Neodiprion lecontei: one gene and its partner. The protein of the gene in region 2 interacts with the protein of the main gene of each other region in a pairwise test. Links are inferred from orthologs where the notes say so. Each region holds a gene or a part of one and is shown on either strand. Other genes may lie near its edges.

Region 1 (4,857 bases), on a different chromosome or scaffold from region 2:
TACTAAATATTCTCGTAGAAATTTAACAATCGGGCAATTTCGCGGGTCCTTGTTAAAGCTTGCAAGCTCACAAAATCCGCGCTGTCATTTGTTTCGCACTGTGGCCGCCATTTTGCCGCCGCGTATCGCCTCCGCCTCGCTCGACACTTTTCACTGATATTTCGCAAAGTTCGTGAGCTTTACACGCGGCCGAGTGTCAAACTGAAAGCTCGCTGTAAAGCAAGCTCTCCGGTGATTCTACGGAGTTGCGCCTGTATTGATTGTCGGAACGGCTTTCGGCCGTCTGGCGAACAAAATGCGAACTATTATCACTTCTGATACGGCGAGTGCCGCTACCTCGATATAAAGCCAACTGTCAACAAACCTGCGGCATTTCTAAACGCTAGGCCTTCCGTTTCGTTGCGACCTCATTAAATTCTTTCGAATATGTAATATATCCATGTATGAAGTATTAAGCTTCCATTGGATGAGAAGAAAAAATTACCAGGGAGAAATTCCGATTTTTTCACTGTTAATCTGTCGCAAGGAAAAAAAAAAAATAAAATGCTGGACATTATCGTATTTATTTATATAAATATTTTTTTATTACTTATATTTGCTCCCTACCGATCCAATGTTACAAAATAAAAGTTCAATAGATGACACGGAGTTGTTTGTGGTTTGATACTCATCAAATTTTCTTACTGTTATGGGTCAATTACCCTGCACACCCACAAGTTGGATTCCGATACACTGTGGGAGAGAAAACGGGAACGTTTATTTAAATGAAACGAAATTCACACACGTATCTGATGTTAAAAAAATTCTGAAAACTTTAATTTGATCAGTCTAACACGATCTGTCGATGAAGCTCTTGTTCAATAACAGATTTGAACTCTAGGACGGTTTTTTTCTGGGTAACAAAGCATATATGAATTTTACGAGATTGCTACATTGTTATTACGTTCTTACTTCAAACTATTATGATAAATAGGTGAAATAAGAGTACAATACAAAGTATCTCAAGTACCGGTAAACTAAGCTTTGTTAACATAAAATATCCAGCTATTTACAATTGTTACAAAACACTTCAACGGTATTAGGCATATGAATGCATTTGGTGGTCCATGCTTCTTGCATTCGTTCATTACGAGTTTAAATTCCTCGTTGCTGATGACTCCAGGAGCCTCTGTCAGTCAGTCAGAATAGCTCACTCGCTACCATCAACATTGTTAGGCACTGTCATCAGACAAATTATTTGGGTCAAAATCCAGATCATCCGGATCATCGTCCAAATCAAGATCTTCCAAGTTTTGAAACAGACTTTCATCCACCTTGACTGCATCTCCTTTAAAAGAAAAATAAACTATGGAGGTCGATCGGATCGACAAATATAAATATGACGAAGCTCATATTATGAATACTTCAAGTTCGCGATAGCAGATAATTTGAAAATTAGTGAATGAGGACTGAAAATACATACCGTCTTCCAAGAACTTCAAATCAGATTGATCTAATGTTTTATCTGTCATAAAGAGCTCTCTTCCAGTCAACTTTTTCCCTTCACGCTCCGCAATTTCACGTCGTTTTGTAATTCCCATTTCATCATCGAACTTCTCTTTCCAGGTTAGAAACGTCTCGACAGTAACTCTTGTTCCCTCAAATCTTTTCTGCAATTTTAAAAACATTAAAGTTGACCAGCGCTGTTGATATGCAATTGTAGAAATCGGAACAACAGAAGTGCAGCATGGTGAAACAACTTAGATTTAAAATGTATGATACTAATATATAATAAATTATTGTTTTTACTCTTTCTGCCTCTTCTTCCTCTTTCAGTTTCAAGGCAGCACTTTCTTCCCTATGCATTTTTATTTTGTCCCACTGAACATTGAGCCATTCTTGCGCAGCACTAACGAGGGTGAAAACCATAACCATGCCTAAATTTTCATTCATTTGATCCGCTAAGTGTTCTTTGAGTATCTGTTCGTCACCATCCTCAAAGTTTTCTTGATCCTCAATATCTACGACTAGTGGCTCATCAGGATATTTAGCTGTGTAAGTAAATTCTAGTCGACAAGCTAAACCATTGCTTGTCTCTAGTTCATGTTCTTCAGATTTAATTGGGATTGAAAATTTGTAGAAGGGCTGCTTTGCTATAACTGAAACCAAACCAAAAGCATGTTTTACTTCACATTTCAAATGTTATTCATACCAAATGTCACGACACCGTACAGTAATTTCAGTCGAGTTACAACAGTCACGCGAGAGTCGATCAGAAAACTTGTGCAGCTCCGGCATGGCTCCGGTGAAATCGTACGAGTGAGAATAAATAATTCAAATTATTTAATATGAAACGTTTACTATTACAGAATATATTTCTCTAATTGAAAATCTTCAACATTATACATATGAAGTGATTAAAAAAAAATAATGAATGAGTTTCAATTATTTCACAAATTCTCACATCGTCAAAGCGCATTGATAAATAACTGTTTAATCAATATTACAGCCGGCAGAGTTGGAAATTTAACTTCATCATCATTAAATTTTATAGATAAGATATAAATAGTGTGCCATAAATTTATTTGTCAGTGTATGCGAAAAAAATTTCGTGTTTACATGCCGTTCCAGGAGCCCTTGTATACGACAAACTTGAAGCTATATTAATTTGATAAATCTAAGTACATATCCATTGTTTGTTATTTTGTGTCTGCTAATTATCGTGCGTACAGTGATTATTCTGTGATTCAATAAATAATAGGTTATGTTAATAATGCCGCAAAAAGTGACGAGTATAGGTTATGTTTTTAACGTCGAGGTATGAACTTACTTTCCATATCCCCACAGTATATGGAATCGAGCGCCTCAATTTCATTAACCTGCTCGTCTCTATAATCCATTTTTTAATCCCGTTGTCTCCCTCTCACAAATCAGCCAGAGCGTAAATATTTTTTATATGAAAACCAGATTTTAACCTAAACCCATAGTGACAATTACCGGACGATACAGAAGATAGGGGATAATAGATGGGATATTATCACGGCTATTAGAGCACTGGAGAGTGGAGCTGTTGGAGTAAGAAAACCGTAAGGGAAATTTGAAGCATAAAAATTACAGTGTCCACCAGCGGGCGCTGCTAGTAAATATTTTTCCACGGTTTATTTCACATTACGGAAAGACTACATTTCTCATTGCAACACAGATTCCTTTTTGTATTTCATATAATATAATATGTCTCATTCATTTTGCAGCACGCAATCATTGTAAATAATTGATTTACATCATTTTTACAACTAACTATCGTTTGATTATTCATTAAAATTTATTCACTTTTCCAATATATTTAGCATCTCTAGGACGCTGAATTTATTTTTTCAGATTTTTACAACGTCAACATTCAGCTACAAATATTTCGGAAAAATTTTAAAGTACGTCGTATTTAGTTCCAATTGTTTCAAAAATGTTTTTGTAGATATAAGTTAATACAAGGACCCAAAGTCACTAAAACTAAGTTCTGCAGCAGTCCTTTACATACTGCAATTAAATTTTTCAATCTGTTACCAAACGAAATAAAGAATTTACCTATATTGACCAAGTCAATTACATATAAATTGAAAAAATGGTTAATCGGCCACCCTGAGCATCTATCAACGCTTTAGTAGAATATATCCGTCTTTCACTTTATTTGTAAAATTTAAATTAAATCATTTAATTTTAATCACAATTAAATGTACAAACTGTATGATTTTTCTTAATTTTAAAATCAAATTTAAAATTGTTGAACTGGCATTGTTAGATTATATGCCTTTTCACTCTTCCCGAGCCTATGCACAGGAAACTTTAAGTTACTTCTATAGGACTATAAATGTACTTTTGTATATTACTTCTGTATATTATGTATATTTATATTTTCTTGGGAATAAATAAATAAATAAATAAATAAATGAATATTTTATTTAATTTTTTTGCTTTGCTGAGCACTTTTAAAATTATGAGGTAACAAACGAAAATCGTCGTGCATTTGCGCTCTTGAAATGTTCCAACGGTAGAGTTGAGAACTTATTGCAGAACATCAGAGAGTTACCGATTTCGACGCGATACTGGCTGCATTCACCTATACTTAACCCGTGTGTACTTACCGACTTGTCGGCGATACAAGAAATTAATAATGAGAATAAATTTCTGACAAAATTCGTAGCAAAACAGTGATTTAATTAAAGTATAAGTACCCGAGAGAACAGTGTATACGAAGATTATGAATAATAATGGATCAGATATCATAATAATGTAAAGAACCAAAAGTACATATGTATATGCGGTCCATGTACGATATTAATCATTGATCCATTTACGATTAATACGTGATGCATGCTATAAATTTTATAATTTTCCAGGAGACTAACTAGATGATCTACAATAATATGGCTGTAATATGAAAATAGAACAATTATTCATTTTGAAATAGAATTCTATTCGACACGCGCTCGATGTATTCCATGACATTGATATTCGTGATTATTCCAACAACTGTTCATTTGCTCTCTCGATCTTGAATTTTCGTAGGCATAGAATCGAAACGCTGTTTGAGCTAGTTGCAAGTGAAGTATTACGTTGGGTATAGAAGCAGAATTGTTTTCGAGAAGTAAGTAAGGAAAAAAATTCAGAGTAACTATAATACATGACGAAAGCGCTAATTGTGGTCAAGATGAAATGGATGCTCCGTATATAAGACAGTATTTAACGCAGTGTACTGATATACAGACCTAAAAAGATGATTGTCGGCGTTTTTTTTTTGACAGGGAGAGATAGAAATGAGTAAAACTACGAGTGTATTTTAACTAGCACTTGAAAGGTACGAGCAAAAATTGTTTTCATTCA
Region 2 (4,548 bases):
GCTCTAAGCGCGGGAACGATTTGTATTAATTTTCATTTGAAATGTGTATGAAAACTAACAAAACTGGTCAATCTAATAACAAAATTCGGAAAAATTGAAACTATGAGCGAAAATTTGGAAAAATAGCACAGATGAACCCGAAGTGACTCAAATTGAAACTCCAAATCACCGAAGCATATCTCGAGTTTTATTCAGTTATATATCGACTCACCCGCCTTGTTTTCTTAAGTTAAATACCGATATTACAACAAATTCCAAACAATTAGAAAAAATTGGAATAGGAAATTAAAAATGTAGGAATTTGGAATCAGGAAGAAAAATTCTTTAAAAGTGATAAAGTTTCTTTAGATTTCGATATAAATTACCACAATTCTTGAAAAGAATTCTTTTTCTTTTTGCTTTGGCGGACATCAAAATACATTAGATCTGAAGAAATTTGATTGGGGTCGGTAACTTTGGTGCAAAGGACAAACGACAAGACCTGCAGTGGACAAAAAAAGGTTCGCCATGGTCGGATAAGTTCATAAATAATACGGAGACTGGCATAATGGGTGTGGGGATGCCATTTTTTTTTCCAAATAATGAAGCAAGTATTTTCATTCGAACAACGTTAAAAGACGAGAATGTTTCTTATCAATCCATTAACAGTACAATTTTATTAAAAACGATGTAATAAGTCAACTAAATTCGTGGATACTTGAGGAAGAAAGAATTGACATTGAAATAATGTGTCGCATAATTTTTTATAGCTTGGATATTTATACCCCAAAAAGTGACGTTATTTCATCCATTTTGTGGATTGCTTATTTTTAGAATATATAAAATATACATTAGGCTTTGCGAAGCTGATAATATCGTTCACCATCATCATTAGTATATTATACTATGGTATATTAGTCAAACCAAAGTATTTGCATTGATTTATTTTTTGAGCACTTGTATCACATCTTCGTCATGCATCACATGTTGCAATCCTACCCTTTGGGGTGAGTATTTTGTGCTCGTGCCCTGCAAAGAGAATGTTCATCGAAGTTTAGAGGTGGTAAATATCTCGTCATTTTTAAACATACTTTACATCCGGTAATCTTACCCAAACAAGAGCATATTTGAATTGTTCAGCGAGAGTCCGGTGAATGCTGTGACAGACATGTTCGACCGTGACTCCCTTCCGTAAAATCAATCCATCATCAAAGTCTGGTGGTTGACCAGGTTTTTTAGTGTAAACCCTGATGAGTGACAAATATTCCCACAGAACCTCCAGCAAATAGTCCAAATTCAATTTCATGTTGCAACTGTCGTAAGAGTATTTTAGCTTAGAAGTTTTGTTGGTGGAATTGCGCGTGAACGCTTTCCAAAAACTGATAGTATCCTATGCTTGACTCACCTAACTACGACGCTGTTGCTTTGCCTCGCGATTCTATCAACTTCTTCTATAGATATTTGATCAATCTTATTGTATACGTACAGGCAGGGTAGGTACACTCTGTTTGCATTGATAACATCGATGAGCTCATCGGCAGTGCAGTCTTCGCGAAACAATACCTCAGCGTTGAATATTTTATACTCATGTAAGATCATTTGGACCAACTTCTCGTCAACTTTAGTCAGTGGGCAAGTAGAGTTGAACGAGAGCCCCCCACCCTTCTTTATTTTAAAATATATATTGGGTTTCTGTTTGTTCAGTCTAATACCAACAGACTCCAATTCTTTCTCTAATAATTGTCGTTGTACATCTTGTTTCGTCGCATCTAACATCATCAATACCAAATCTGCCGTTCTTGCGACGGCTATGACTTGCCTCCCTCTTCCTTTTCCCTGGGAAAATTACCAAGAATTAGAAAACTCGATGTACGCGAAAACATCGCCGGTGTTTATTTTTCTAGGCAATACCTGAGCGGCACCTTCGATGATACCGGGCAAATCTAAAAGTTGTATGTTTGCTCCCTTGTATTCGATTACACCTGGTATGCACGTAAGCGTTGTGAATTCGTAGGACGCAGCTTCGGATTCGGTGTGAGTAAGGGTGCTGAGTAAAGTGGATTTACCCACAGAGGGAAAACCGATCAGGGCGACCCGCGCATCTCCTGATTTCAGTACATCGAACCCTTCCCCCTTTTCGGATTTCTTTGACGGCTCTAATAACTGGGAGCGATACTTGGCTAACTTTGCCTTCAATAGGCCGAGATGATACTCCGTCGCTGTAAAAACAAATATCGACCTTTAAACGACGGTTGAGAAAATTAGAAAAAATGCAAAATCCCCAGACTCCGAGCCGGTCACGGCGTTGCGGCTGGCAGACACATAACCTCAAATCCGAAACAAACCCTTATTTTTTTGCGTCCGAGCGATCTCTTTCTCGATTTCTGATATTTTTTCGAGTATACCCATGATTGGCTACCCTCAGCTTTGAGCTGCTTGTCTTCGCATCGACGAATTTACAACTAACGGCGACACAATCTGCGCTCACTCAAAATCACACTGACCCACGTGAATAATTTACAATTCGGTAAATCAAGCATAGACTACCCGAAATCGGAAAAGAACTTGGTAGATCCAGAGTTGCCAACCTATCGGACGAATATTTCTTTAAAAGGCGCCAAAATAATTCTTCAGATTTCTTATTTTAAATGGCACTACAATAATTCTTCAGATGTCTTAATAACGTCACAATAATCCGTCATGTTTCTCATTTTCAAGACGGACAATTTTCCTATAAATATATAATAATAATTAACGAGCGAGGCAACTCAAAAATTTATATGCTACAATCTGAATTGTAAGTATAAAGATATTCGGGACTTTCATGTAAATAATATGTTTTTATTTTTAATATTTAGGACCGTTAACATGTCAAATAAGTGCGTTTGAAAATTGTAGACGCTATCTGATTTGTGCATATTTTCTTGGGAACCTCACAATTTGTCGATGTTTAGTCATATTTAGATATTTCGCTTCTTTCAGTCTCGAGATTACGCCAGAAATCTTCGGATTTTCCTCAGAATCTGGCCTAAGCGACAATAGTTTATAATAAGAAAACAACTTTTCTTTTTTCTCTGAACCGTTTGAACGGACTCTAATTTCTTTAGATTTAAATAAATTTCTTTAGTTTTGGCAACACTGGGTGGACCGAAGAGATTGGCATTGACTAGCGAAGTGACATAGATTGAGTCAAAAGTGGAGAATGTCGGGTTCCGCTTTTACCGGTCGATTATCGATCCAACGCATGCGCCAGCAAATCAAATTGTTGCGCAATTTGCCGCCGAATCCAAGATCCCTGGAATAAATTGCATATAAAATATGCATCCCATTATCTCGGCGGGTGGTCCAATGAATAAAGTATAAGAAGAAGCAAAAGTAAAATTTCCTTCAGCTTCAAGTTTTACTTGTTTCTTTTTTTTTTTCATCGTTTTCTCCCTCCCGAATGCTGTGTACAATTTGTTATACAGACGTAGAAAATTGAGATATTATTCTTTCTCGAATAACTCTGAGATTCTCGCAAAAAGCTTTCGTCTGCTGCATGAATTATTTTATACGATAACGGGCTGCTCACTTGAGGGATAAGATATGTTTTAAAATGATTAGATTTTGTCGAACACAGCGTGTTCTTCGTATACCTGCACCGAAGTTTTACACAAAAAAAAAAAAAAAAGTATCGAATGAAAAATTTTACATACACGACACGTAAACGTCGGGACGTATCAAAAAGAGACAAAGGCCCAGGCGTATCTACGCTCTAATAGCCCGCGACGTACATGCATTAAGGAATTTCCACCTGGCCGAGCACAACCTTTCCAAGTGTATAACCGCCATTGAAACGTGTGCCGTCGAATTAACATCACTCTGAAAGTAAGATTCATCGCTGAATGCGGATCACGCGGAGCTGGATAAAAAAGCTGAGTGAAAATGAATAAATTCAACGAATCGGTTATATGTCGCACACGGTGTTCAAAACGTTGTTGCATGATTGAGGAGATCGTACGATAAAAAGCCCTTGCTCTTTTTTTTTTTTTTGACGGCTGCACACTTCGATAACATTATTTTAACGCGGTTAGAATTATTTTACATTAGATTAACGATGAATTGAATTTTCCAACTGCGAATCAGACAGAATTTCCTCATGTAATCATGAGAATGAACCATGGTTGAATAAATAACTTGTGTATGACCATGGAGTTTGTTATTATTCCCATTATTAATCTACGTTTTATATTCTATGTTGAAAAATTATAAAACACTTTTGTTTCTCTGAACTTGGTGCGATAAACGATGAACATTTAAGGTATTTTAGAGTTTGATTGGAAACCAAAATAAATCACAACCGGTCTAAGATTATAAGGCATGTCTTATAGATAATCAGCAAATTCGGTGAGGTTTGGGCAACTAAACTAATCAGCGTATAAGCTGATCGTACGGTGAATAAGACTTGAACGAAAGACGACGACGAATGAAGAAAAAAGATAGATAAATAAATAAAACGAACTGATAAACATTCGGTACAGATACAGCTTGTGCAATATAGGTTATCAAACAAAGTATTAACGACAAATA

What was found.
Region 1: the proteins of developmentally-regulated GTP-binding protein 2 (region 2) and RWD domain-containing protein 1 interact in binary tests that used the Homo sapiens proteins (3 or more experiments, as listed by UniProt). The link is inferred for Neodiprion lecontei from reciprocal best matches to the Homo sapiens genes DRG2 and RWDD1.

What each region holds. Positions count from the first base shown.
Region 1 is NC_060262.1:25,214,101-25,218,957, forward strand, and holds RWD domain-containing protein 1, read right to left. Parts: upstream 3,023-4,857; 5' UTR 2,880-3,022; coding exon 2,810-2,879; intron 2,139-2,809; coding exon 1,789-2,138; intron 1,650-1,788; coding exon 1,463-1,649; intron 1,328-1,462; coding exon 1,212-1,327; 3' UTR 548-1,211; downstream 1-547. UniProt on the Homo sapiens protein: Protects DRG2 from proteolytic degradation.
Region 2 is NC_060263.1:2,933,381-2,937,928, forward strand, and holds developmentally-regulated GTP-binding protein 2, read right to left. Parts: upstream 2,520-4,548; 5' UTR 2,389-2,519; coding exon 2,325-2,388; intron 2,199-2,324; coding exon 1,891-2,198; intron 1,816-1,890; coding exon 1,385-1,815; intron 1,293-1,384; coding exon 1,091-1,292; intron 1,009-1,090; coding exon 922-1,008; 3' UTR 725-921; downstream 1-724. UniProt on the Homo sapiens protein: Catalyzes the conversion of GTP to GDP through hydrolysis of the gamma-phosphate bond in GTP. When hydroxylated at C-3 of 'Lys-21' by JMJD7, may bind to RNA and play a role in translation.